Linked DNA regions of Mus musculus. The protein of the gene in region 1 purifies or fractionates together with the protein of each later gene. This does not show direct contact. Links are inferred from orthologs where the notes say so. Each region holds a gene or a part of one and is shown in the gene's direction. Other genes may lie near its edges.

The links.
Region 2: the proteins of Vapa (region 1) and Fam83g purify together in Homo sapiens (co-immunoprecipitation; 3 studies listed by BioGRID and IntAct, counting the BioPlex papers as one, with this or other methods). This does not show direct contact. The link is inferred for Mus musculus from reciprocal best matches to the Homo sapiens genes VAPA and FAM83G.
Region 3: the proteins of Vapa (region 1) and Pitpnm3 purify together in Homo sapiens (co-immunoprecipitation; 3 studies listed by BioGRID and IntAct, with this or other methods). This does not show direct contact. The link is inferred for Mus musculus from reciprocal best matches to the Homo sapiens genes VAPA and PITPNM3.
Region 4: the proteins of Vapa (region 1) and Prkar1a purify together in Homo sapiens (affinity purification with mass spectrometry; 3 studies listed by BioGRID and IntAct, with this or other methods). This does not show direct contact. The link is inferred for Mus musculus from reciprocal best matches to the Homo sapiens genes VAPA and PRKAR1A.
Region 5: the proteins of Vapa (region 1) and Rassf1 purify together in Homo sapiens (co-immunoprecipitation; 3 studies listed by BioGRID and IntAct, counting the BioPlex papers as one, with this or other methods). This does not show direct contact. The link is inferred for Mus musculus from reciprocal best matches to the Homo sapiens genes VAPA and RASSF1.
Region 6: the proteins of Vapa (region 1) and Ttc1 purify together in Homo sapiens (affinity purification with mass spectrometry; 5 studies listed by BioGRID and IntAct, counting the BioPlex papers as one, with this or other methods). This does not show direct contact. The link is inferred for Mus musculus from reciprocal best matches to the Homo sapiens genes VAPA and TTC1.
Region 7: the proteins of Vapa (region 1) and Rab3gap1 purify together in Homo sapiens (affinity purification with mass spectrometry; 4 studies listed by BioGRID and IntAct, counting the BioPlex papers as one, with this or other methods). This does not show direct contact. The link is inferred for Mus musculus from reciprocal best matches to the Homo sapiens genes VAPA and RAB3GAP1.

What each region holds. Positions count from the first base shown.
Region 1 is NC_000083.6:65,593,056-65,596,555, reverse strand, and holds part of Vapa (vesicle-associated membrane protein-associated protein A), read left to right. Parts: intron 1-1,501; coding exon 1,502-1,654; intron 1,655-3,012; coding exon 3,013-3,116; intron 3,117-3,500. UniProt on the Homo sapiens protein: Endoplasmic reticulum (ER)-anchored protein that mediates the formation of contact sites between the ER and endosomes via interaction with FFAT motif-containing proteins such as STARD3 or WDR44.
Region 2 is NC_000077.6:61,683,000-61,687,209, forward strand, and holds the start of Fam83g (protein FAM83G), read left to right. Parts: upstream 1-1,410; 5' UTR 1,411-1,534; coding exon 1,535-2,056; intron 2,057-4,210. UniProt on the Homo sapiens protein: Substrate for type I BMP receptor kinase involved in regulation of some target genes of the BMP signaling pathway. Also regulates the expression of several non-BMP target genes, suggesting a role in other signaling pathways.
Region 3 is NC_000077.6:72,133,090-72,137,045, reverse strand, and holds the start of Pitpnm3 (membrane-associated phosphatidylinositol transfer protein 3), read left to right. Parts: upstream 1-1,156; 5' UTR 1,157-1,370; coding exon 1,371-1,392; intron 1,393-3,956. UniProt on the Homo sapiens protein: Catalyzes the transfer of phosphatidylinositol and phosphatidylcholine between membranes (in vitro). Binds calcium ions.
Region 4 is NC_000077.6:109,664,449-109,667,948, forward strand, and holds part of Prkar1a (cAMP-dependent protein kinase type I-alpha regulatory subunit), read left to right. Parts: intron 1-310; coding exon 311-371; intron 372-1,416; coding exon 1,417-1,538; intron 1,539-2,195; coding exon 2,196-2,277; intron 2,278-2,981; coding exon 2,982-3,154; 3' UTR 3,155-3,500. UniProt on the Homo sapiens protein: Regulatory subunit of the cAMP-dependent protein kinases involved in cAMP signaling in cells.
Region 5 is NC_000075.6:107,554,555-107,558,054, forward strand, and holds part of Rassf1 (ras association domain-containing protein 1), read left to right. Parts: intron 1-28; exon of another isoform or gene 29-224; coding exon of another isoform or gene 225-371; intron 372-2,898; coding exon 2,899-3,003; intron 3,004-3,215; coding exon 3,216-3,500. UniProt on the Homo sapiens protein: Potential tumor suppressor. Required for death receptor-dependent apoptosis. Mediates activation of STK3/MST2 and STK4/MST1 during Fas-induced apoptosis by preventing their dephosphorylation.
Region 6 is NC_000077.6:43,734,509-43,738,008, reverse strand, and holds part of Ttc1 (tetratricopeptide repeat protein 1), read left to right. Parts: coding exon 1-142; intron 143-1,535; coding exon 1,536-1,590; intron 1,591-3,500.
Region 7 is NC_000067.6:127,927,773-127,931,272, forward strand, and holds part of Rab3gap1 (rab3 GTPase-activating protein catalytic subunit), read left to right. Parts: intron 1-176; coding exon 177-349; intron 350-2,617; coding exon 2,618-2,672; intron 2,673-2,934; coding exon 2,935-3,306; intron 3,307-3,500. UniProt on the Homo sapiens protein: Catalytic subunit of the Rab3 GTPase-activating (Rab3GAP) complex composed of RAB3GAP1 and RAB3GAP2, which has GTPase-activating protein (GAP) activity towards various Rab3 subfamily members (RAB3A, RAB3B, RAB3C and RAB3D), RAB5A and RAB43, and guanine nucleotide exchange factor (GEF) activity towards RAB18.

The sequences.
Region 1 (3,500 bases):
TCAGAAACCAACAATTGGGTAGCAGCAAAGAGTATAAGATCGCCTACAGAAGAAAGGAGTGGCATAAAATGAAACAGGCACTCCAAGTAAAAGCTTATTTCTCAAGGCTTGAACTAAGTTTTAAATTTTCCCACTTTTGTGAAATTGTTTTTTTTCTCATGTTAGGCATTAGGCACATTTAGTCTGTCTTTAAAAAGTCTTTGTCTCAGACAGTTTACCAACACTCAAAGTTTATTGTACATGGTTGGTGAATTTTCTAAATCTAGATTTCAAAGTATGACTGTTGCAAAGTTTTAAAAAACATAGTCTTTGTTTATGACTCAAACAGGTTAGAAGGTGACTCTGGTTCAGGGAGCTTGCAGCCAAGCTTGAAAATAGTTCAATCCCTTGAACCCACATGGTAGGAAAGCATTGATCCTGATGATGCTGTGCATGTAGACATACAGTCTAAGTGACAAATAAGGGAATGAAAAAGGCTAGATAAAAATAGGAAGGCTTTTATAATGTCTTTTCCTTCAGGCTTCTTGACTTTTCCCTCCCTTTTTGGTGCTGGTGGTTGAATGTGGGACTGTAGCCATGCTCCAGTAGTCTTCTTAGTGCTCTAGTTAAGATCATCAATATCACTCCTTTGACAAATAAAAAGCAAAAGCATAAAATAGATGTTTAAAAGGCCATTTAAAACCATTAAACAAGAAAACCATTACAAGACCATTAAAACAATTAAAATGCCTTCAAAATCAACAAGAAATTCTTGCTGTGAAACTTAGACTGTATAATCTGTTTTGGCTTTTCAGATGAAACCAAATAAGTTTATCTTCACATCTCACAGCCCGTTTTAAAAACAAAACAAAAAACTGAGGATATACTGGTTAAGTAGAGCTGGGTCAGCTTTTTGAATTCGTTTTGTTGAGTACAGAATTAAAGCTTTAAGACAAGACTTCGTATTTAGATAGAGCATATGACATACCACTCATAAGTACTTAATACACGTGCATGAATGAATTGAGACAAGTGAGTACTGTCAGGTTTTAGTTTTGTAGTTGGCCTGTGAACGTAAAGATTAGCACTGGTGAAGACCACTGGGGGACTTGTGTCAGTCATGTGATGTGTTATGAACATGCTATATGAGTACAGTTTGGCTGACAAGATGGCTCATTGGATGGAGATCCTTGTTGCTAAGCCTGAGGACTGGAGTTGGATTTTTGGACCCCACATAACGAAAGGAGGGCACCAGTTGTAAAAAGTTGTCTTCTGATCTCCACATACGTACTGTGACATGTACATGTTCATATGTGCAACACAAACATGATAAATGTAACCAAAATTAAAGAACAAAAATCATAGTTATTTTATGGATGAAATCATCAAAAGTTGAAAAAAAAGAGAGACAATTTTTGTTTTCTTTAGAAAAGTGGGATTGAGATTATATTAACTTAATCTTGAATTATGCTTTTGTTGTGACTCCAGTTAATCTTTTCTCTGTCTGCCCCTTACCTTTCAGGCCCCTTCACAGATGTAGTCACTACAAATCTTAAATTGCAAAATCCATCGGATAGAAAAGTGTGTTTCAAAGTGAAGACTACAGCACCTCGCCGGTACTGTGTGCGGCCCAACAGTGGGATTATTGACCCGGGGTCAATTGTGACTGTTTCAGGTAGTACTCCATGTCCTAGACCTTTGTAGGTTTGAATATTGACATTTCATGACTGTTGCATTTGATGTTTAGTGTTTTTATCTGTTTATTATTTGGCTTCAGTGTTTGTGTAAAGATGTTCCTTGGGTATCTTACCGTACAGACATTTTATTGAACCTTTCCTCCTCGAGACTTACGTGGGAGTGTATGATTGCCTAGGGTCAATTTGAAATGTTATCTATTCTGTATTTCCACAGCTTTCCACTGTAGCTTGTGTTCTTATTTATCTTTGAAATGGCACTGTTTTGTGATTAAATCATGTTCTGTGCATCTACAGAAGCGTTTGAGTCTTAAAAAAAAAATGCCTGTTTTGGGCCTACTTTTAAAATCAGATGAGTTTTTATTCCTTTCAGTGTAAATGACAACAGTGTCTTGTTCCTTGTTTATTGCTTACAGTAGTTCCTTCCATACACATCACGTATTCCTGCTGTGAGATCTACTGTGCTATCCAAATGTTCCTTTCTTAGACAGCCTTTCCAAGGAGACAGTACTTTGTAACACGTGCCATAGGTGGCAGGTCTGACAGCATGTGTGGCTCCATGAGACTTTAACTTGTGGGAAAACCTCTCTGTGCTCACACAGACTTACTCCTTTTTTTTTTTTTTTAAAAAAAAACAAAACAAAAAAAACAATAGCTTTCAACTCCTGCATTTGTTAATTACAAAAGGCTCAGGAAAAATGGATTATGTCATTACAGATCATGGAGTTAGAAATGTGTGTATTAAAATTCTTGGTGACCTGATAACTTAGGTGATCCCTAAATTTTAAGATAACTACAGCTTTTATTTTCAAGTTTATAGAATATTAAAATAGTAAGTTATTTAAGGCTCAGTGAGACTGTTTAGAAGTAGAACCTGACTGTAAATGTATCCAATATACATTAGTAATTACTGATTTGTTTATCACCTCATCTTGGATTTACGTAACATAAATTGAACTGGAGCCTTAAAACTTGGTACAGGCAACTCAGGTCTGGAGACGTAAAAGTGAATGCTATTGGGATCTGGGAATAAAGTCTAAAGACCAATCAGTTATCCTTTGTTTTCTTAAAATTAGATTTAAACAAATGAACACATTCTGAGTAATTGTTTAAAATCCAGTTTAAAAATAAGTTATATTAAAAGTGTCTAAGTTATCTAAATTAAAATCAACACAAAATGAATTTAATAATAATTGAAAGTTAAAAGGCTGCTTGTGCCTCTTGAGGATAATTTAAGTTTTTGAACCCATCTTGGTATGCATTAAGTTTGTGTGTTAGTGTGGTGGTATTAAATAGGACGTAAACTGTAGATGACAGTGTGCTTTCTCTGTTTATTTAGTAATGCTGCAACCCTTTGATTATGATCCGAATGAAAAGAGTAAACATAAGTTCATGGTACAGACAATTTTTGCTCCACCAAACATTTCAGATATGGAAGCTGTGGTAAGTGTAGAAGTTGTACAGAAGTTATTTTTGGAAATGTAGTTTAAACTTTGTTTAGCTCTCAACAATCCATATTTCCTTGCCAAAAATTAAATATCAGAACAAAATTAAAATTTAAACAATTAAAAGGTTTTGTTTTTTGATATATATTTTTTTCCAAGGCATGATTCGGCTTGTTCTGGAACTTTGTAGACCAGGCTGGCTTTGAACCTACAGAGATCCTCTTGCCTCTGCCTCTTCCATTGCTGGGATTGAAGGTGTGCTCCACTCACCATGCCTGAAATACTGTTCTTTAGAAACCATTTAGACATGCTAAAGTGGAGAAGACAGTCGTGTGGATTGCTTGCTGATGCTGTTGTCACGTTTTTCATCACATTGTTTTAT
Region 2 (4,210 bases), on another chromosome or scaffold:
ACTCTTTACAGCTTCTTGTGACTTGAGTGGAGCAGATGAGCCTTCCAGCCAGAGGGCCAGGTTCCTTAATGAAGCCGGGAACTCCACAGTGGTAAGAACAAGAGAATAAACTGAGGGTCAGCACATCTTTGTTGAGGGTACAAGACTCACACTCATCACTGCCCCTCTCTGCTCCTTGGGAATGGGAGGTAAGGAGGTGACTCAGGTGCCCGAGGTGGGCAAGAGTGCCAAGCAAGAGCAGGTATGAACCACAGTGTTCACCCAGTGTAAGGCCTGATGAGGACTTTGAGGCTAGAGGTGAAGGGTTTGAGTCTGGGGATCAGTGGTGAGGACTCCAAGGATGCTAACTAGGCTTTGAAGCTTTGAAAGCAGTGAATGCAGGGCAAGGAGGCCTTACTGGAAAATGAACAGTGAGGACATGTCTGGAGGGTACAATGTTGCCATTAGCTTGTCCTCATTAGGTTAAGGCCAGGGTCCACTGGGACTCAAACCAGCTCTATCCTGACCCAGAGATGGTAAGTAGGCTAGAAAGACAGGGCAGTATTGGCCTGGTGTCCTGAAACAAGAAGCTTCAGGAAGGAGCCCTTTGCCAAACTGCACCTGACATCCTGCCCTCAGATAAGGACCTAATGGTCTCCATCACTGGGGAACAGCCAAGAGCTGCGTTTGAGCACAGCTTGGTTCTCTCTACCCTTTTCTGGCGCAGGGTTCAGGCATGTGAGGTGCACCAGGTTCTGCTAGGTGGGATCCCAGCAAGCAGTTGGGCTCAGGACTAATCTGTATCTGGTCTGTGCACATGGAGAGCAAGAGTGTGGAAGCAGTTGGAGCTGGAGCTGGGCCTCGGCCCACGACCCAACCTTCAGTCTACAACTGGACAGCTGAGCATCCCACCCGCAAGACAGAACCGGGCCAGAGATGGACCAGGATCGCCAGCGGGACTGGGGGGCAGAGGAAGACTTCCACGAGGCTTAGAGGCAGCAAATTGTCCAGCCTTGCGCCGTCTGAGGAGATGAATCAGCTTCCGGCTCCGCCCCCGGGGCCGCACGTGACCCCAGGTGAGGGTGGCAGGGTGGGCGGGACCGCCCTTAGTCACCGGCGGTCCAGCCCGGTGCCACCACCAACGCCTGTGGTTCCTCGGGTCGTCCGGTCTGCACGGCGCCACCTGCTTGGTAAGCAAGTCCCTCCTCCGGGTTTGCGAGCCTCACTTGGGCTGGCGTCCCGGCTCTTACTCCGGACTGGGGCGAGGGTCCCCGTCAGCCCCAGCTTATTCCCAGGATTCCGAGAACCTCAGGCGGATCCCAAGACAGAGGCAGAGGACAACCGCGGCCCTGGACGGCTCTGGCTAACCTCGCCACGCCTCGCTCCGCCCACACACTACCCGCCACGCCCCTTCCTTCGCCACGCCCCCGCCCGCCCTCTGACCCCGACCGCGGTCTTTTGCTGATTCCCTCAGGTGCGGTTCTCAGAGGCGCCGAGGCCCCGGAGCCTGAGAGCGCGGTGCCCGTCGGGCCGCGTTCCCACAGCGAGGGCCACCATGGCCTTCTCCCAGGTGCAGTGTCTGGACGACAACCACGTGAACTGGCGATCCAGCGAGTCGAAGCCCGAGTTCTTCTACAGCGAGGAGCAGAGGCTGGCCCTGGAGGCCCTGGTGGCCCGGGGTCGCGACGCCTTCTACGAGGTGCTGAAGCGCGAGAACATCCGCGACTTTCTTTCGGAGCTGGAGCTTTCGCGTATCGTGGAGGCCATCGAGGTGTACGACCCGGGCTCTGAGGACCCGCGGGTCTCGGGCCGCCGCCCCGAACCCCAGGACAACGGAGGCGCGGATGCCAGCGAGGAGACCAGTGCGGCGGGCGGGCCCCCAGCCACGGAGACGCTGCCCTCGCTGGAGTATTGGCCCCAGAAGTCGGACCGCTCCATCCCGCAGCTGGACCTGGGCTGGCCTGACACCATTGCCTACCGAGGTGTGACCCGGGCCAGCGTCTACATGCAGCCACCCATCGACGGGCAGCCGCACATCAAGGAAGTGGTGCGCAAGATGGTCAGCCAGGCGCAGAAGGTGAGGCGCCACGGCGAGACCCCCATTCACCCAGCACGCATGGGCACCGAGACAGCCCCTGGACCTCTGACTGGCCTCTCGGTTGCCTCCTCCGGTGATCAGAAGCTGAATGTCCACTCCCTCTAGCAGGTGGCACTGGGCTTCCAGGCTGAGTGGGCTTCTGTGCCCTCCTGGAGTGTTTCTGAGTTCCCCAAATGCAAACCATGAGCTGTGTGGGAGGAATGCGGCCTTTCTCTCACCCACTCTCCCTTATCTCGTCTCAGACCCAGGAGCAGATAGAAGCTTGCACACATACATGAGCTTGCTGGCAGGGGTCTCGGGAGAGACGTGGAGGCTGGTCTGGAGCCCTGAGGAAATCTGCCTGCTTCCTAGCTGTGCTGTGTGGCTGGTGGTGGTTCTCCAAGCTTTTCTCTGAGTGCTACAGTAGCAGCAGCTGTCCAGGCCAGAGCAGGTGGTACCTATTGAAGGTTTTCACCAGTGGAAGAGGTGAGGGTATTTACTTAGGTTGTGGTTTGCCATCAAGAGGCTCTTCAGGCCTTGTGTGGATTCCCTTAGCTGACAGCCGTTGACTGGGCTGCACAGTGCCCGGCTTTGGGTGACTGCTCCATACTGACACACACACATCTTGAGAAGCTGTGTACAATGCTTGTACAGACAGTCAAACCATAGCTGGGTGGCCATGAATGAGCAGAGGTGTGCCTGATTTGACAGGCAAGGTAGCCCAGCAAGTTGCGATATATCTAGAGCAGGTCTGTCTTCAGGTGGTAGTGAGAGTGTTCCTACCTGGGTCTGACCCCTTCACTGTCCGGGTCCAGAATGAGGCAGTCAGTGTACAAGGCCAGGTGTCTACCCTGGGGACTGATCTGGCTGACAGGGCCTGGGGAGCTCTTGGGCAGAGACCAAAAGTGGGTCAGTAGCTGAGGTGGCTCAGCTTTCCCCCAGAGTCGAGGCTCTGTCCATGGGGCCACTAACTGAGGGTTTCTAGTCTGTAGGTACACTTTGCATCTCTAGCCATTGTGATGGTAGGGTATTGGGTGGCAGGAAGGAGGAAGGACTGAATAATACTCTGGACACCTGAGAATAGTTGGGAGTCTGTTGCCCCTAAAAAGGGCCAGGGGTGACTCCCACTGTGGCAGAGCCCAGTCCCTTGAGAGGAGGGAGAAAGACTGAATGGGGCCCAACCTGCTGTGCCAGTGCTCTTACAGCAGGAAGGAGGCCACGTCCACTTTCCAGCTTGGCCTGGGAACAGCTACAGGCTCTAATCTTCTGCAGACAGAATGACATAGGGCCAGTCAATGATAAGGACAGATAGGGGTGCCTGGGGCCAAGTTGTACCCTTAGGGCTTCCTGTCTACATCATTGTGCCCACAGCTGTGATGTAGCCACTCCTTGCAGACCCATAGCTTCGTTTGCACCCAATTCCACTCCCCCAGGTTTGTTATTGATGGCACCTGTCTACAGTGACAGAAAGACATTGATCTTAGTGTGAGCCCCATCTGTGTGTGTGGCACCAGAGTGGGTGACTTCTGACTGCCTATCGTGTAGAGGCATTGCCCTCTGCTACCTACACCTGGCGCCTGTACCCCACAGCAGGGAGTCCCATAGGAACCTCAATTGACAGAGGGCATGTCCATTTACAGAGATCAAGAGTTTGTTTACACCCCCACCATGCTGTCTTGGGCCAAGCCCCTCCCCTGTGGACCTGTGTGAGTCCCTGTTCCCCGATCTTTGTCTTATGGCCCACACAGTACGTGGGAAGGCTGTAATAATAGCTTTGGTGGAGTATGAACACTTTATAATCTCAGGTAGTGTTATCTGCCTCTTTTTTTCACATGGAGAAACTGAGACCAGACTCATTAGTTGTCCCTGCCCAAGGTCACTTAGACCTGTTGCACTCTGGGATCTACCCAGGCGTTGTGGTACCTGGTAGCAGTGACAAGCAGGACCTGGGAGGAGCAGCTGACCTAGGTGGCTTGAGTCTTTACTCCTCGCTACTGCTTCCCAGCCTCCTGGGGCAGGCCCAGACGCCGGTGGATGCTGACAGAGCGATTTGCCCGCCCTCTCCTTGCTCCTCCCTGTAGGAGCTCTTCTGTCTTCTCTCTCACCATGAGTCACCTCTTGCCCTTCTCGCCCACCTCCCCTTTTTACCCCATG
Region 3 (3,956 bases), on another chromosome or scaffold:
AAAGCAGGGAGAGGTCCATGAGTAGGCGATACAGACTTCCTTTCGCTGAGGTGAAGAACTTTGTTGCTGCTAGCTCTGTGCAAAAGTTTCGGGAAGACTCTTGCCTGAGGCTGAGCCTTTGATAGACTAAAGAGGGAGTGTAAGGCTGATTAACCTGGATAGGCTGAAGGAGTCAAAGCCCAGAAATGGGTGTGTCCCGTAGAGGCCCCTTGTGTGCTTTGTTTCTATGGGGCAGTGGATGGGGCACTTAAGTCCTGGCTGGCCTAGGGGTGGAACTGTCTAGTGCCCAGTGTGGGTGCTTGGCTGCAGACTGTGGGAGAAAAACAGGCTTCAGGGAAGGCCCAACAGTCCTCTAAGGAGCCTAGCCCTCACCCTAACCGTCAGCAGGGAGGAAGTGGCCTCGCCTGGAACTGAGCTAGGGAGCCGACTGCTCTCTCCAGGACCCTACCTTCTAGGCCCCATCTAAAACGACTGACCATCTCCTGTGGATCCCCTGACTGCAGTGGGCAGAAACCACAATTTAAATGTCTCAGGAGGCCCGCTAATTAGAATGTCAGCACTTCTGTGAGAAAGTGTTAGGGGGACACACTGCTTTCTGCCAGGCTCCCCACAAACTCTGCTTAGCGTTTACTGGCAGGTGGGGTTTGCAGGTTTAACGGATCCTTTAGTGCTAAAGGACAAAAGCTTTCCTCTCTTGAGACTAGAGCAGATGCAGGCATCCAGCATCCCTGGAGTTGGGAGCTGATGGAGAAGTCCCCTCTCATCTCTGCGAGACTTCGTTCTAGGTTTCTCAGTCTCCTGGGTCCTGGTCTTCCTTGCTCTCCCTGTCCTCACAGACTCTAGCCAGCTCCGATTTCCTTGAATTTCTCTCTCTCCCAAGGGTGTTTCTGCCCTAGGAGCGCCTCTTTCTGGTGCCTTGTCTCAGGGTCACTGCGCCCCAGGCTCGCAGTCCATGTCTTCATCCCTGCCTGGCCCGCAGCGTCTCCGAGCTGTAATCCGGAGTCTGTCTACGTCTGTCTTTCAGCGAGGGTCGGGGTCTCAGTGGCCGCAATCAGTGGGCTGCGCCTCCCGCGCGCTGCGGTGGCCGCGCGGCTCCGGGCGGGGGTGCGGGCCCGCGGGGGCGGTGTCGGGCGCCTTCCGTCGTCAGTCCCTCCCCGGCGGCGCGGAGGGGGGGCGGCGCGGTCGCCGCTCGGCTCCTTTAAGGGAGCGGGAGGGAGCGGCGAGGCGGCGGCGGTTGCGGTGGAGGCGGCCGAGCGAGCGGGGCGGGGGCGCGGGGCGCGGCGCCCGGAGAGTCCGCTCCGGCCGAAGGCGCCGGGGCCCGGCCGGGAGCGAGCAGCGCCGGCAGCACAGCGGAGCCCGCCGCCCGGGACATGGCCAAGGCGGGCAGCGCAGGTGAGCGCGGCGCGGGGCGCTCGGCGGGTGGCGGGAGGGATCGCTCGGCCCAGGTGAGCCCCCCAACCAGGTGGGCGGAGGCACAGTGACCGCGGCGACCCGCCCGGACCCCGGGGCGTGCATAAGGGGCTCCGCGCGCCCTGCGTCCTTCCCGCGCCCCCAGTCACCTCGTGGGACACCGCATCCCGCTTGCCCCGCTGCACTGGGTCAGGTCCACGGCTCCTCAGTCCAGTCGGCAGTTCGGAGCTGTCGCTGCCCTCCGGGAGACCGGGGGAGTAGACCCCGGCACCGGAACCCAAAGGGGATGTCCCGCGGTCGCTGATCCATCCCACGCCCCAACAAACCAGGACGCGCCCCCTTGTCCTGTCACTCTCTATCTTGGATGCGACAGTCCCCCGCCCCTGCCACCAGCTGGGTTAAGAGACCCAGATTACTGGTCCCGTCGCTGGAGGGGTACACTATGGCTGGGGAGCCTCCCCGCCTCCCACCTGACCCAGAGGCAGAGCCTCAGGTGCCGGGCTAGGCAGGCGGGGCCTCTGTTGGGGTCCCATGGGCTCGGCTCTCCTGCAAGCTCAGAGCTGTAGCCCAAGGATCCCAGGGAGTAGGTGTTAGTCGTCCCTTCATTCATCCAGTCAGGCGTTCATTCACCAGCATCTGCTCTGATGTCAGGCCCTGTGAGTTGGTTAGGACCTGGAGGGGACCAGGTTTAGCCCCGGACTCCCCACTCTGTGCCCTGGACCCCTACAGTGCCCTAAAAGGCCAAGTTGAGGAAAGCCAGTGTTCATAGGGCTGGCCACAAATGGATGAGGCTGGTCTCAACAGTCCTGAGCTTGGGAGCTCTGGCGTGTGAGAATCTGCCATGAACTCACTCCCAGCCTGTGACGTTGGCAGGTGCCATGCCATCCCCGTGGGGCCTGGTGTGAACCCCACTTCTCCACCCATAGGCATGGCAAAGATGGAATGAACATGACCACCTGCCCGCACTCTAGATGTGAGTGCCATTGAACTGCCTGCGACCCTGGGACAGGTCCCAATCCTTGGCATGGACTGGCCTTGTGACTCAGGTGTGGCAGAGGAATCCTGTGAGGGAGAGGCTGTTTGTGTGAGACAGCATAAGCAAATGCATCTAAACACCCCCTTTCCCACTTCCCTCCCCTCCCCTCCCGAGGGAGGCACAGTGAGATGACACCAGGAGGCTGGAAAAGGCTCTCTGCTCCCTTCTTTCTCCTGCCTTGGTCCCTCCCCACCCCTGCTCTTCATAAAGGAAGAGCATGCGTCTCTGCTACCCATTCTACATGTGCTCATGTGTGAGCACAGGTCTGGACGTCCGGATCCAGGTCTCTTGCCAGGGCACCACAGTAGCAAGAGTAGTTAGAGAAATCTCTTCTTGACCTGTGTACCAGGTAACATACTTAAGCCCTTTACTGCCCCATGATTCTGAGAAGTAGGAAGGTACTCCCCTTTTAAAGCCCTTGGAAGCAAATAGCTCCCTGAAGATGGCTGGGAGGGTCTAGGTGAGCCTGGATGCAAGACCAAGGTTTTTTTTGGTTTTGTTTTGTTTTGCTTTTGTTTTTTTGGATGCTAAGGAATCTTTCTACTCCCCTCCTCATTCTGGGAGAAGGGCAGCCCCAGGTCCTATGAATTGGATTGTGGGTCTTTTGGTCCCTAGCTGAGATCCATGGGGAGAGTGCCCTGCAGAAGGTGAAGAAATGGCCAGGCCTCCCAAGACTGCTGCCTGGGGCTGCTCTACAACTTTTCCATTTCACAGTCTCAGTCCTTTCCCTCAGAGCAAGCCAGACTTCCCTCCTCTGTGACCACCTGCCTGGTGCCTCTCTGTCTCTTACTCAGCTGCCACCCCAAGGAGCTCTGCAGATGACCTCTGGCAAGATCTGACCACGCTTCTCAACTCTCCTGGGCAACGTGGCAGCCTGCAAATATCCCTTCTTTTCTTTAGCTACCTTAAACCCAGTGACTTAAGGATGCAGAGTATGGAGGAATGCCTGGCCTCTCTCATCAAGCACATTTACCTTGAATTATATAGCTTATATATAATTCAAGGCCAAGTTCTTCTATTCATAGCTGAGGAAACTGAGGCCCAAGAGAGAAAGATGGCAATTCAGTACCATACACAGACTAAAAGGCAGAAGGATCAGCCCTCCACCCTGAGAGGTGAGAGGAGACTAAAGGGAGGTTGTAGGAAATCTTGCCTGCGAGTGAGGGGGTCTGCTTCCTGATTTGTGTGGGATTTCCTCTGAAAACCGGCCAGTGGTCCGGCTACTTAAGGAGGAGATGGGCTTTGGGTCCTGGCGCTGTTGTAACCGATGCCAGGCTGTATACTCTACAGTTCCACCATCACGTCGTGGTGGTGAATGGTGGTGCTGGAGCGGCACGATGAACATCCTGAGCAGCCAGCCAAGGCTACAGCAGCTGTGCCAGGAAGGCAGTTCAAGGACTTTCATGTAGCTCGGAGAATCCAGGCACAAGAGAAAATGTAATCAGATCCCAGACAGGATGAGATTCATTTGCAGAGAGTGGATCCAACTTGATTATTACCAGCCTTCAAG
Region 4 (3,500 bases), on another chromosome or scaffold:
GAGGTCTCAGTGGCAGTCGTTTGTTAGCCACTTGGGTGCCGTGAGAGAACTGCTTGGCATTTCGCTCCTTGTTAGAGCCGTGCCCCTCCGTGGGCTGCGTGCCTGCCCCTGCTTTAGGAGCCTCGCAGTGAGCTTTGTACAGAGTGCAGGGCTCACACTTAGTACAGAGAAAATGGGTCAGAGTCGAGAAGCAGGAGCAGACGCCTTCCTGCTTACTTTTCTTTTAGTTTGTTTAAAATGTAAACATAAATTGTTGAGCAACATTGTGTGATAATCACATCTCTTTTGGACATAACTTTTTTATTTATAGGGAAGCACTCTGCGAAAGAGGAAGATGTATGAAGAATTCCTTAGTAAAGTGTCTATTTTAGGTGAGTTGGAGAATTATATGGAGAATTGATAAACTCGAGCATTTGTGGTACTTGCACAGATTTTTACATACGTCTTGTAGTTCATGTGTGTTTTCAATTTCAAATTTTTACTGTTTTCGCTTTTGCTAATCATGATCATACAGCATTTTGACAGTGTTGAAAGTTTGGTAAAGTAAATGGTAATTTTTTAAACCTCCATAATGAGGTGTGGAAAAGCTTCGTGACTGCGTAGATGCTGCCCTTTCCTTTTACAGGAGTGTCTATGCTCTGGATAGTCACAGCTGCTGCTACTGCAGCTTGTGCTGCTGTTCCTAGGATTCCTAGGAATGGCTTCTGATGGGTTTTGTCTGAGCAGTTATATGTCTTTGGTGGCCTCTTTTGAAAAGATCCACGCCTGTTGGAATTTAAAAGTGAGCTTGTCAATTGACATATCTCTATAGATTCCTTACATTAACTGGAGATGTTCCAACCTGCCCTGTGTGGTGAGCGGGTAGGTGACAGTCTGCCTTTGCTTCGTTGCAGACTTTCTCACCTCACTTGTCATTTGTTTTAGTGTTCAGAATATTAGTTGGGTCTTTGGAAACAAAAGGTATTTTCTAGCTCCTTGTCATTCACAAGGTAAACTCAGCTGAGCCGTTATATGGATAAAGCTACTTTGAACCTTTGCAATGGTGTGCATGGGGAAGCTGTTTTCTTTAGTTACGTGAAGGTTTGCCTCGCTTGATGGTAATGTTGAGAATTGCATTTTCTTAGCACTTTTATAAAAGCTAACACAGTAAAAGGAAGGCTCTGAGGGCCGTCTGCAGAAGTAGGCGAGTCCTGCTGAGGCTTGGAGCCACTGAGGACAGCTGCTGTGGCTGGCCTTCATGTGCTGAGGACACATGTGCTGTGGCTGCCTTCACCCGGGGCTTTTCCTGGGATGTGCAGTGGGGACTCTAGTTGGTAGCATCTTTGTAGAGTTTGGTTTTGCTCAACTTTTATTTTTTTACTTTATTTTTTAGCAATAGCAGATATATAGAGAATTCTTTTGATTCTTCTATTTCAGAGTCTCTGGACAAGTGGGAGCGTCTCACAGTAGCCGATGCATTGGAGCCTGTCCAGTTTGAAGATGGACAGAAGATCGTGGTGCAAGGAGAGCCGGGGGATGAGTTCTTCATCATTTTAGAGGTAGAGAGCTCTGCGAGTGACTCCTTACCATGCGTCACCTAAAGGAGGGGCAGCCAGTTCTGATTTGTAGCTTTAGTTTTATTTAGTCGTTATCTTTTACTTCAGAATACAGCTTGCTGTGTATAGTCTGCTACAGTTTTAAAGAATTAGAGTCAGAATCCTGCAAGGGCCCTAGACATGATTGGTGAGATGGCTCTCTACTACACTAAAAAGCCCCTCAGCCATAACAGATACGGTGATTCTGAGCCAAAGTGCTTAGGCTAGTTAGTAATGATTGACAATTCTAAAAGTCACTGTTACTGAAACATCTCCCTATCATCCTGCTTGCCAAGCAGGTCCAGATGGCAGCTTCAGAGTCTGAACTCTTGTCGCACTGCAGATGCAGCCATGGAGATGTGAGCCCTGAGTGTGATAGTCTTTAAAATCTTATTTCCAAAGATGCAGCAGGCTTGAGCTTGACCCTTTACGTAAACTTTACTCACCGGAGTCTGAACTCCTTTGTAAGTGCCTGAGCTTGATACGAGCCTTGATAGCGGGGTGGATGCTGGTTCAGTGGAAGTCAGCGTTGAAATAACTGCTCAGTTCACTCAGGAACCGGCGATTGCACAGTATGTGTTAGGACCGTGTGTTTAGCTTCTTGCGTTGGTGTGATTACAGGGCACAGCTGCTGTGCTGCAGCGTCGGTCAGAAAACGAAGAATTTGTTGAAGTGGGACGACTGGGGCCTTCTGATTATTTTGGTATGTTAAATTTCTTCATAAATACATGGTTTAAGGATCTGTGGGACAGTGTAGTTTCCCATAATTAGTTTTGTTTTCTTTCCTTTACTTAGTTCTGGGGCAGAGTGTGGCCTGGAACTCACTCTGTAGACCAGGCTGCCCACAAACTCAGAGACCCACCTGTCTCCATTTCTAGAGTGATGGGATTGAATGTAGGCACCCCCACACCCTGCCTTTATTGTTTTTGAGACAGGGTCTTTGGTAACAGTGCAGACCGGCCTTCTTAGATCTGCCTTAGTTAGCCTCCTAAGTGTTGGGGTTATAGTCATGATACCTGGTAGATTTCTTAACCTATACTCTTTCTTGTTTCTCAGAGAAGTACTGTAACATTAACTTTATTCAGTTAATAGATGAGCACAGACCAAGCATGCATGCGCACACGCACTTGCGCTTATGTCCTACATAGCCTCGACTGCCTGGACTTCATTGTACAGTGAAGCTTGTTCTAACTGGTCACCTTCCTGCCTCTGGCTCATGAGTGTTGGTTTGTAGGCATGACTGTAGGGGCTGTGTTATCTATTTGCTAGTAATACTTTTTAATGTACAAATGTTGTGTGGCCTCTACTAAGTTAGTAGGGAAGTTGCATCTTTGTTCACTTGCTCAGGAGTGGACCCTTTAAGGAAATAGCTTCCATAGGTGATAGTCGTTACTGTCTCTTTTCCAGGTGAAATTGCCCTGCTGATGAATCGTCCTCGGGCTGCCACTGTGGTTGCCCGGGGCCCTTTGAAGTGCGTTAAGTTGGACCGGCCTCGGTTTGAACGCGTCCTTGGCCCGTGCTCAGACATCCTCAAGCGGAACATCCAGCAGTACAACAGCTTCGTGTCCCTGTCCGTCTGACCCGCGCCTCCTGTGCCTCCTCCCCAGTCCATGCTTCACTCACGCAGACTGCTTTCTCTCCCTAGCCGCAGCGCCCAGTGGCCACTGCTTCACAGCTTCTTGTCTCTTTATACTAAAAGTTGCTTTATTGCACCATTTTTCATTGGGAGCGTTATTAAATGCTCATTCACAAATAAATAGAGAGTTGTATGGACTTGGCTGTCACCGCTTCTCTGTGCAGTGCTCGTGTTCAACCTGGGCAGCAAGTGCCGCGCTTTTTGCTGAGGGCGGTCCCTGCACCACTGAATTACCGTAATGATGTAATAGCTGTGCAGGGCTTTTAAGTGACACAGGTTTCCATTTCCAT
Region 5 (3,500 bases), on another chromosome or scaffold:
CTGTAGCGTCGTGGCCCCGCCCCTCGACGTCTTCACCCCCTCACCCCCCTCGACACCAGAGCTAAAGTCGGGCTGTCTACGTTTCAGTCCTAACGGTTGCCGCGCGGCGCTGGCCTCCGCGCAAGCGCGACCTGACACACTCACACGCACGCACGCACGCACGCGCCCGAGGCGGTGGTTAGAGGCTCTCCACGCAGTGGACTAGGGATCGGGCGGGTAAGGCGATGGGCGAGGCTGAAACACCTTCCTTCGAAATGACCTGGAGCAGCACAACCAGCAGTGGCTACTGCAGCCAGGAGGACTCGGACTCGGAGCTCGAGCAGTACTTCACGGCGCGTACCTCGCTGGTCCGCAGGCCGCGTCGGGACCAGGTGGGGAGCCCGGGGGGTGCCGCCGGCGGGTGAGGGGCGGTCGCTGGAACCCCGCCCCTCCCCGGTAAGTTGCGGCCTGGAAAGTTAGGTGATGGGCAGCCTCCCCGCCTCTCCATAGCGAGCCACTCGGAGGGTCCTGACAAAAGCGAGGAAGCGTACGTAGGGTTCTCTGTCCCGAGTAGAAGCCCAGTTCCAGCGCGATGGTACTGAGGACCCAGGCTACCCTGCCCTTGCAGTCACAGACCGGTTGAGCCAGGGGGAAGCAACTCTGAAGCTTGAAGGGTGGACCACAGGCGGGCGTTTTTCACCCATGACTAAAGCCAGACTCGCAATCCAAACCGGCGTCTTGATTTCGCATTTGGGCGCTCCCACTCCCTCCCTGGGGGAAATGAGGAAGTGGAGGAGGAGTCCACCGGGAAGTGAGAAGTTAGTTTGGGAGGGGACTCTGGCCGTGCCGTGATGCGGTCTTGGATCAGCCAGCAAAGTGCCCAGCCGTTGCTCGACCAACTCTTTGACACCAGCTGCTGGACTCGATCTTTCTTTCCTCCATGGTGGAACTGTGCAGAGGGATTTGGGGAATTCAGGAAGAGGGCCTTAAAAGACTATTAAAAAAAAAAAAGTGTGGTACCAGGGCAGCTGAACCTCTTTAAAAAGTCTAGATGTGCCCAAATTATCCGACTTTCTGGGAATATCATAGTTGTGGCCACCAAGCTCGGATAACTTGTTCTGGAGCGGGAATCCCTCGGAACAGCACAGAGGCCAGCGAATCAGGAAAGTGAGGACGGAGACTGAGGTTAGAAAACTTAGTAGCACTGAACTAGAACTCCTTATTTGAGCCAAGAAAGTGGAATTGTCTGTGATGCTGTAGGTGAGATTTGATATAAATTTCCTACAGGTGGACTGCTACTTGACACCTCCAAAACCTTAGTCCAGACTTTAGACTCAATGTGGGGTGGGAGTGGGGGCGGGAGGGTGTCTCTGGGATTGTCTCCATACCACTCAACCTGAGTCATCTTCTATTATGGAGAGGTGGGGGAAAATATAAGATACTGGCCAGTTGAAAGGCATACAAAGAGAAGAATTGTTTAAAAGCAGCTGAAGTTTATAGCTGACTTAGCTGTAGAGTGCTTAGCATTATATGTGTGATGGATGGCCTGACTTCCAACCATTAAGGAACCAAAAAATAAGAAAGAAGAAAAGGAAGCTAAGAAGTCCCAAAGAGCAGAGTAAAAGCCTGAGGGCTGGGGCTGGGCTGCAGGTTCAATCCCCAACCCAGACCCTCCTAGAATTCTCCTGGGACCAGGCACTGCCTAGCGGTGATCCCAGCTGTGTTTGTTCCAATTGCATTCCAATTTAGGGCCTTTCTGAAACCAACAGGAAGTAAGACTCACACTGGGAGTTGAGGACTGACTGCTCTTCCAGAGGTCCTGAGTTCAATTCCCAGGAACCACATGGTGGCTCACAACCATCTGTAATAGGATCTGATGCCCTCTTCTGATGCATCAGAAAACAGCTACAGTGTATTCACACATATATAAAATAAGTAAATAAATCTTAAAAAACAAAACCAAACCAGGAAGTAAGACTCAGGCAGTTAGGTCAAGTGAGTCCTGGCTGCCCTGAGCAGCAGGGTGACTCCACCCTCCCGCAGTTCCTGAAGAACCTTGTCTCTGGGCTAAGTCTTCAGACAGCGAGGGGGAAGAACAGCAGCCTCCCTGCTTGCTGCTGGTAGGACAGGCTCTGCTGGGAAATTGCCTGTACACCTCTGGCAGATGAGAACCTGGATTGAAGCTGCCTTCTATGTAGCTTGAGTCGGGGGGTAAATGGTATGTCCCAGTGTTACTTCACTATATAAGATGTGGTGTGGCTGGTCCCAAGAAACCCACTAAGGCATCTTACATTACAGAGATCAGCTTTCCTCTCCTGTCTACTGTAGTTAGACTGCTGGTGCACCAGCTCCCGTGCTGCCTACCCTCTCTCGGGTCATGTTCTGTGCTGCTGCACTGTGGGAGAGTGGGCTTTCTTCTCCAGAACAAACTGACCAAACTAGTGTTCTGGGTTCAGCTCTACAGTGGAGATGTGATTGTGTTGTGGTTTTAATTTTTGTATGTGGTGGGGGTGGAAATCAAAGGGCCTTGTACATTCTGGGAAATTACTCTATCACTGAGCTACATTTTATCCCCCAAAGTGTTTATACTTTAAACAAGATTTTTCCCTTACAGTCCTTCATGGTTTCCTGGCCCCTGGACATGTGCCTTCATTTATCTGTTTCTGTGATGTCGTTAGGGGCCACAACCAGTGCTGAGGTGGCCCCAGATAGCAGAAAGCCAAACGGATTCTACCTGTCCTTGCTCTCTCCATCTATAGCATGTAAAACCAGGAGCAATGATGGCTTCAGGATGTATGGGTTTGGTGACAGGACCAAAATCAAGTTCCAAGCCAGAAGGACCATCCCCATCCCCACCCCACCCACCAAAGAGCCTTGGCCTTTTCAAGGGCCCTGTATCTATGCTGGCCTGTCTTTCAGGATGAGGCTGTAGAGCGGGAGACACCCGATCTTTCTCAAGCTGAGACTGAGCAGAAAATCAAGGACTACAATGGCCAGATCAACAGCAACCTCTTCATGAGCCTGGTGAGTTGGCTGTTCAGGAATGTGGGAGAACAGAAGCCCAGCTCTGGGCCAGATGTCCAGAGAGTCAGAGCAAAGTATTCTGGGGTGTACCCAAGCAGCTATCTGTGCAGACCTGGCTTTACCCTGCCCCTGGACGACTCAACCTAACTCTTCCATCTCCAGTAGAACTTCCTGACATGGCATGGTTCTCCTTTTCCTTTCTTTCTTTTCAGAATAAGGATGGCTCCTACACAGGCTTCATCAAGGTTCAGCTGAAACTAGTGCGTCCTGTTTCAGTGCCTTCCAGCAAGAAACCACCTTCCTTACAGGACGCCCGGAGAGGTACGGGGCGGAGCACAGCCGTGAAGCGCCGCACCTCTTTTTACTTGCCTAAGGATGCTATTAAGCATCTGCATGTTCTATCACGAACACGGGCACGTGAGGTCATTGAGGCCCTGCTTCGAAAATTCATGGTCGTAGATGATCCTCGCAAGTTTGCACTCTTTGAGCGAACTGAA
Region 6 (3,500 bases), on another chromosome or scaffold:
GTTAAACCCCACCTATATCCGTGCAATACTGAGGAGAGCTGAATTATATGAGAAAACAGACAAACTAGATGAAGCACTGGAAGATTATAAATCAGTATTAGAAAAAGATCCATCAGTACATCAAGCAAGAGAAGCTTGTATGGTAAAACAGATTTTAAAGTATCGTCTCGGGCTGGGGGTAGTGATGCATGTCCTTAATCCTAGCACTTAGGAGGCAGAGACAGGTGCATCTCTGTGAGGTCAAACCCTGCCTGCTTTATATGACAAGTTCCAGGACAGCCAGAGCTATAGAATGGAGACCCTGTCTCCAAAAAAAAAAAAAAAAAAAAAAAAAAAAAAAAATCAGAAGTATTTCCCGTTTCTTTTGCTTTGTACTTAGTAGATCTTTAGTCTTCCCAGTTACAACTAAATTCTATTTTTATGATTACCAGAATAAATGAGAGATAGGTCTTTGTGATGGCTACTTACTCACTGGGACTATGTACCATTTGATCTCCACATATATGAGCCAGCATGACAGCACACTCCTGTAATCCCAGAACTGGAGGGGAAAGAAACCTGATTTTGAAACCAGCTGGACTATATAGAAAGAAAGACCTATCCCCCGAAGTTAATTAAATAAATAAGCTGTGTAAGCGTTTCTTTTTACATCGGGGTTATTTTGTTCGCTATAGTTACACAGTTTAGTGAGTCTACTAGAATTTTATCTTATTTTATGTGTATGAGTATTTCGCTTGCAAGTATATCTGTGAGCCACATAGTGCTTGGTGCCTATGGAGGTTGGAGGAAAGCATCAGATCCCTAGAAATGAAATTGATGGGTGATTATGATCTACCCTTTTGTGATCTATTTGTGGTCTTTGTCTATTTGTTTAAGATCGTGTCTCATTCTAGCCCAAGTTGACCTCAAACTCATCATCATCTTGCCCAAGCCCCTTAGTTTGGGGTTTTTGAGACTGAGCCTGACTGGCTAGTAACTCTCCACTTAAGCAGACTGGCCTCCAGCTCTCAGTCGTCCTTCTGCGTGTGTCTCACAAGTACGTGGATTACAGCTGTGTGCACCACAACTGACTCAGTCACAAACTTGTCCTAAGGTCTGCCTTTGATCTGGACATTGTTTCCGCCTGAGAATGTGATGGGGCAGCTCAGCAGGTCAAGGCTTGCTGCCAAGTCTGATGCCCTAAGTTCAGTTCCTAGAGCCCACATGATGACAGGAAAAAGTCCGACCCCAGAAAGTTATTTTCTGATCACCACATAAACACAGAGACACACAAAAGAACTGAGCGTTAGAGAAATGACTGGTTATGAGTACTCCCTACTCTTCCATAGGACCCAGCTCAGTTGCCAGAACCCACTCAGGTGGTTTACAACCACTCACAACTCCAGCCAGTGGCTCCCACACACTCTTCTGGCACAGACACACAGAAAAAGAAAAAAATAAACCGTTATTTTTTTTTTTTTTTTAAGAGAACTGAGAATCTTGTCAGATTTAGTAAGAATTTCTTACCAAATGCTTGTTTCTACTTTTTTCCTCAGAGATTACCTAAGCAAATTGAAGAACGTAATGAAAGGTTAAAAGAGGAGATGTTAGGTAAGTTTGCTTCCATGACTTTCTCTCTTGATCATAACAGCTAGGAGACTAGGGTAGAACCATAACTGCTTTCATTTGCTTAGAGAAGAGCGGTTCAGAGTCTCTGAGGTGTGTGCATGAGTGTGTATTGTTTAGACTGGGGTGTGTGTGTGTGTGTGTGTGTGTGTGTGTGTTGTTGAGACTGCTGCTTTGCAGCAGTGCTATAGCGGGACAAAGCCTGCTTGGCTCGGCTGATTTTTAATTTCAGGAAGCACAGTTGGCTTAGAGAGGGATCAGCGTTTTCAGGACCCAGAGTTCTACCTTGGCTTTCACCTGATAATCTCAAAGCCCAGTTGAGTCTTTCCATTGCGTAATCAACGCTTAAGGTTTTATGTTTATATAATCTGGAGTCATTAGAGCCAGTAATGTCAGAATAAAGTGAGTTTGGGGTTGGAAATAGCACTAAAAATCACATTAGTGATTGGAAAGACATGAAAAGTGTGTGGAGTAAACATAAGGGCCGGACGCTGAGGCAATTCCTCAGAGGACCGGAGTTCACAACCCATGTTTAAAATAGGCAGGGTGGAATACATCTGTAACCCTGGCAGTGGGGACACAGAGACAGGAGGACCCCTTGACCTCTGTGGTCTGCTACTCTCACTGGATTGGAAAGTTCCAGGTTCAGGGAGAGACAGGAATAGAGGGTACCCAGTGTTGACCTCTGCACACCAATGCACATGCCCACAAAATGGGCCAGGGGTAGGAGGGGCATTTGGGGCATGGATTCTCTTAGAGTTGCCAGAACGTTTCGTAGTTGGAATCCGAGCCTCTTGATTCCTGCTTTACTAAGGACATTGCATTGTCTGTCTAACCTTTCTCATACGACCCTGCTCTGAAGCTGCTGCACCTTCCTGATGAATACATTCTAAAATGTATTTCTTTTCTTTTTTTTTTTTTTTAATTGGTGCCTTGGTATTTTCCCTGCATATATGTCTGTGTGATAGTGACAGATCCCCAGGAACTGGAGTTACAGACAGTTGCAAGCAGCCTCTGGAAGAGCAGCCAGTGCTCTTAACCGCTGAGCCATCTCTCCAGCCCTCTTTTTAAAATTTATCTATTTCCATTTTTTAGATGAATACATTCTAAATCTTTGATGTGCATTGCAAGGGCATAGACCTACAAGAAAATGAGCATAGAGTACATTAGTTTAGCCATATGTAGTTTAATAACAGTATCTAGAGAGTGTGCGTAGACTTCCCAGTAGATCATTCCGGTAGATGAATTAATGGACTTTTTTTACTCTTAACATCTTTTTGCCCACAAAATTTTTACATGATCCTATGCATACAGTTATGCGTGTATGTGTGTGTGTGTGTGTGTGTGTGTGTGTATCTCAAACATTCATTGATAACAAATCATAAGCTTTATTTGAAATAACTATTTAAGGGGCAAGAGAGATGGCTCAGTAGTTAAGAACATTTATTGATCTTGCAAAGAGCTTTTGGCTCCCAGAACCTACATGGCAACTAACAGCCACCTGTAATTCTATCTTCAGAGGGTCCAATGCTTCTGTGACCTCTTTGGGCTCCTCATGCACATACACTCACACATACATGTAAAATAAAGGTAATCTCTAAAAATGGTAATTCTTTAACATAATTTAGCCTGTCTTCAATGTAAGAGCAAATTTGTGTAATGATAATGAGAAATGCATTTTCCATAGAGAAACAAAACTAGGCTGAAGCATTGCCGCCGCGGGACGTTAAGCATAGTCGTTGTTTTCAGAGTGGCTCGATAGTACGGTTTTAGGATTATCAGTGCTGAGTTTGACACCTGACATAAATACATTCTACACAGTGGCAGGAGTATGTTTAGTGCCATTGGGAAATGTTGCCCTAATCTCAAACCAAAATGACCTAATTTTTTAAAGT
Region 7 (3,500 bases), on another chromosome or scaffold:
AATCGTATACATAGCTGTTGGATCCTCGTAGTTTAGAGTTCTTGTCAAATTCTTAAGTTTGTCTTGCAGCAGATTCTGATGGGTTTATTTTGATGGAAGATTCTTCTTATGTACTCTTTAAGTATGCAAATTTGCTGTTAACAGGTTTTGCTTTGTTTTTCTTTTGTAAAATTTAGACTCTCTACAATCAGTTCAAGTCTGCGCCTTCCGACAGTCTAACATACAAACTGGCCTTGTGTCTTTGTATGATCAACTTCTACCATGGAGGGCTGAAGGGAGTGGCACATCTCTGGCAGGAATTTGTTCTTGAAATGCGTTTCAGATGGGAAAACAACTTTCTGATTCCAGGGTAATAATTTTAATTTCCAGTTGTTTAGCTAGGATTTTTTTTTTATCACCAAATATCTGACTTCTTTCAGGAATTCTTTGTAAGAAATATGTATCCATCTTTACTCAGGTGTTCAGTGCAGTACATTTCTAATGGAAGAAAAGGCCAGACAACCTAAATGTCAACATTGTGCTGCATGACTGTAAAGCTTTCTTCTAGAGTCGCTTATTGCTTTGTTTGAGGTGGGGTATTGAGACATGAACCCAGGGCCTCATGTATTCCAGGCAAGTGCTCTGCCACTGAGCTACAGGTGCATACCTCAAGAACCTTAATGTAGAAACTGTGCGTGTTGGGCATGGTGGCAGATGTTTTTATTCCCATCACTCAGGAGTCAAGAGGCAGAGGCAGAGGCACAGAGAGGCGCAGAGAGGCAGAGGCGCAGAGAGGCAGAGAGAGAGAGAGGCAGAGAGAGAGAGAGAGAGGCAGAGGCAGAGGCACAGAGAGGCAGAGAGAGAGAGGCAGAGAGAGAGAGGCAGAGAGAGAGAGGCAGAGGCAGAGGCGCAGAGAGGCAGAGAGAGAGGCAGAGAGGCAGAGAGAGAGAGGCAGAGAGAGAGGCAGAGAGAGAGAGGCAGAGGCACAGAGAGGCAGAGGCAGAGGCAAGAGGCAGAGGCAGAGGCAAGAGGCAGAGGCAAGAGTCAGAGGCAGAGGCAGAGGCAAGAGGCAGAGGCAAGAGGCAGAGGCAAGAGGCAGAGGCAGAGGCAGAGACAAGAGGCAGAGGCAAGAGGCAGAGGCAGAGGCTCAGAGAGGCAGAGGCGCAGAGAGGCAGAGGCGGACGCAGAGAGGCAGAGGCAGAGGCAGAGGCAGGCAGATCTCTTGTGCATTGAGCTCTGCATAGGAAGCTCCAGGCCAGCCAGAACTACATAGTTAAACCCTGTCTCAGCAAACAAACAAGATTAAGTCATAGAAACTGTATTAGTAACTAGGTGTTGTAATACAGCACAGAATGCTTTCAATTATGCTGATATGTAGGTATAGAAAAAAGATTGGAGAGAAATACAGTCAAGTGGTAATAGTTTTCCCAGGTATGAAAGTACATTTTTGTTTGTTTATTTGTTTCATCTTTGTATTTCTTAAATTATCTATGCATATACTTCTATTTGAAGAAAAATACCTTTAAAGTACTCTATAATTTCAGGCATTAAATATAATCTAGAATCTCTTTTTTAAAAAAGATTTATTTATTTCATTTTATGTGAATACACTGTCTTCAGACACACCAGAAGAGGGCATCAGATCCCAATACAGATGATTGTAAGTTACCGTATAGTTGCTGGAAATTGAACTCAGGACCTCTGGAAGATCAGTCAGTGCTCTTAACCGCTGAGCCATCTCTCCAGCCCCAATCTAGAACCTTTTTATATTGACATTTTACTGATTGCATAAACTCTTAACTATGCATACATGCCAATTACTGCTAGTAGGCTAGTGGTTGTCTACCCATTCTAAGGAGAGGATGATATGACTAGTTTAATGGCCACTGACCTGAAAGTGTTTTGTGTTAGGATGTTTTGCCAGTCTCTGTTTATCTGGATTCTCTCTTGGCTGTTACTGTTTTGCTCTGGAACTTATTGGCATACAGAAGCACACTGAGTGGAGGAATTTAGTGATTTAGAACCAAAGGGAGTCCAGGATCTCACTGGCAAAGGCGATGTAGAGACAGACCTTGGTTTGTTTAATGAGAATCTACCTATGTACATATGAGTTTTGTTTGTGTGATATGCAAAGTGCTGTACACTAGTTACTTCCTGTGGTGAGTTTAGACTCAGGTTTCTAACTAGCTTGGAAGCTGTTATGAGTTTGCCCTTATATATCACATGGTTTTTATATTTGATGACGATTGTGAGATAGGATAAAATAATTTTGAACTTTTAATCATAATCTGGAACCTGGCTTTCTTAAGTATGGAAATCTAGTTTTGGTTTCTTAACAATATAGTTTAAAAAATTGACAATGGGGCTGGAGAGATGGCTCAGTGGGTAAGAGCACCCGACTGCTCTTCTGAAGGTCCAGAGTTCAAATCCCAGCAACCACATGGTGGCTCACAACCATCCGTAACGAGATCTGACTCCCTCTTCTGGAGTGTCTGAGGACAGCTACAGTGTACTTACATATAATAAATAAATAAATCAGTTCCCTGTCTTAAAAAAAAAAAAAAAAATTGACAATGTGTAAGTAGGCTTACGTGATATAATTTTACTAAAACTTAAGCTTTCTTTTCCTATTTGGTAGACTAGCAAGTGGATCACCAGATCTAAGATGCTGCTTACTGCATCAGAAACTACAGGTAACGGTTTTCCATAGCATGAGTGCACACACATTTACATCATTTACATATATATATATATATATATATATATGCAAAACCTGACGCTTAATCTAACACTTAAGTGTAGGAATGACTTATATAGGCTACTTTCTTTGGGCTGCTTATGGGTTGCTTATAATCCCTGTAATCTGTCTTGGTAAAGTAGAAAGAAATACTGAAGCAATTGATACATATTGCTGTACTCTAGTTCAACCATAAATGCTATTTCTGTTTTCTTCAGATGTTAAATTGTTGTATTGAAAGGAAGAAAGCACGTGATGAAGGGAAAAAGACGAGCCTCTCGGATAGTACGACTAGTGCATATCCAGGGGATGCTGGGAAAACTGGAGGCCAGCTGGGCCTGGACCATCTCAGAGATACAGAGAAGGAAAAGGGAGAAGTAGGGAAGTCCTGGGATTCCTGGAGTGATAGTGAAGAAGAGTTTTTTGAATGCCTCAGTGATACGGAAGACCTTAAAGGAAACGGACAGGAGAGTGGTAAGAAAGGCGGTCCCAAGGAGATGGCAAACTTAAAGCCAGAAGGCCGCCTGCACCAGCACGGGAAACTTACCCTGCTGCATAATGGAGAGCCTCTCTACATTCCAGTGACCCAGGTAGGTGCACCAAGGCTTGCAAACTCAGCTGCCTTTTGTTGTTGATTAGGTCCTTCCTAGAGGAGATGATTGCTTTTGGTAGGAGAGATTATTTAAAGTCTTTGATTAGGTTTGGAACTTTCAGTTCTGCCAGTCTGAAATTGCATAATCGTTTGAAGCCTTAGTAGATGGTATTGACCTTATATAAGGTGATT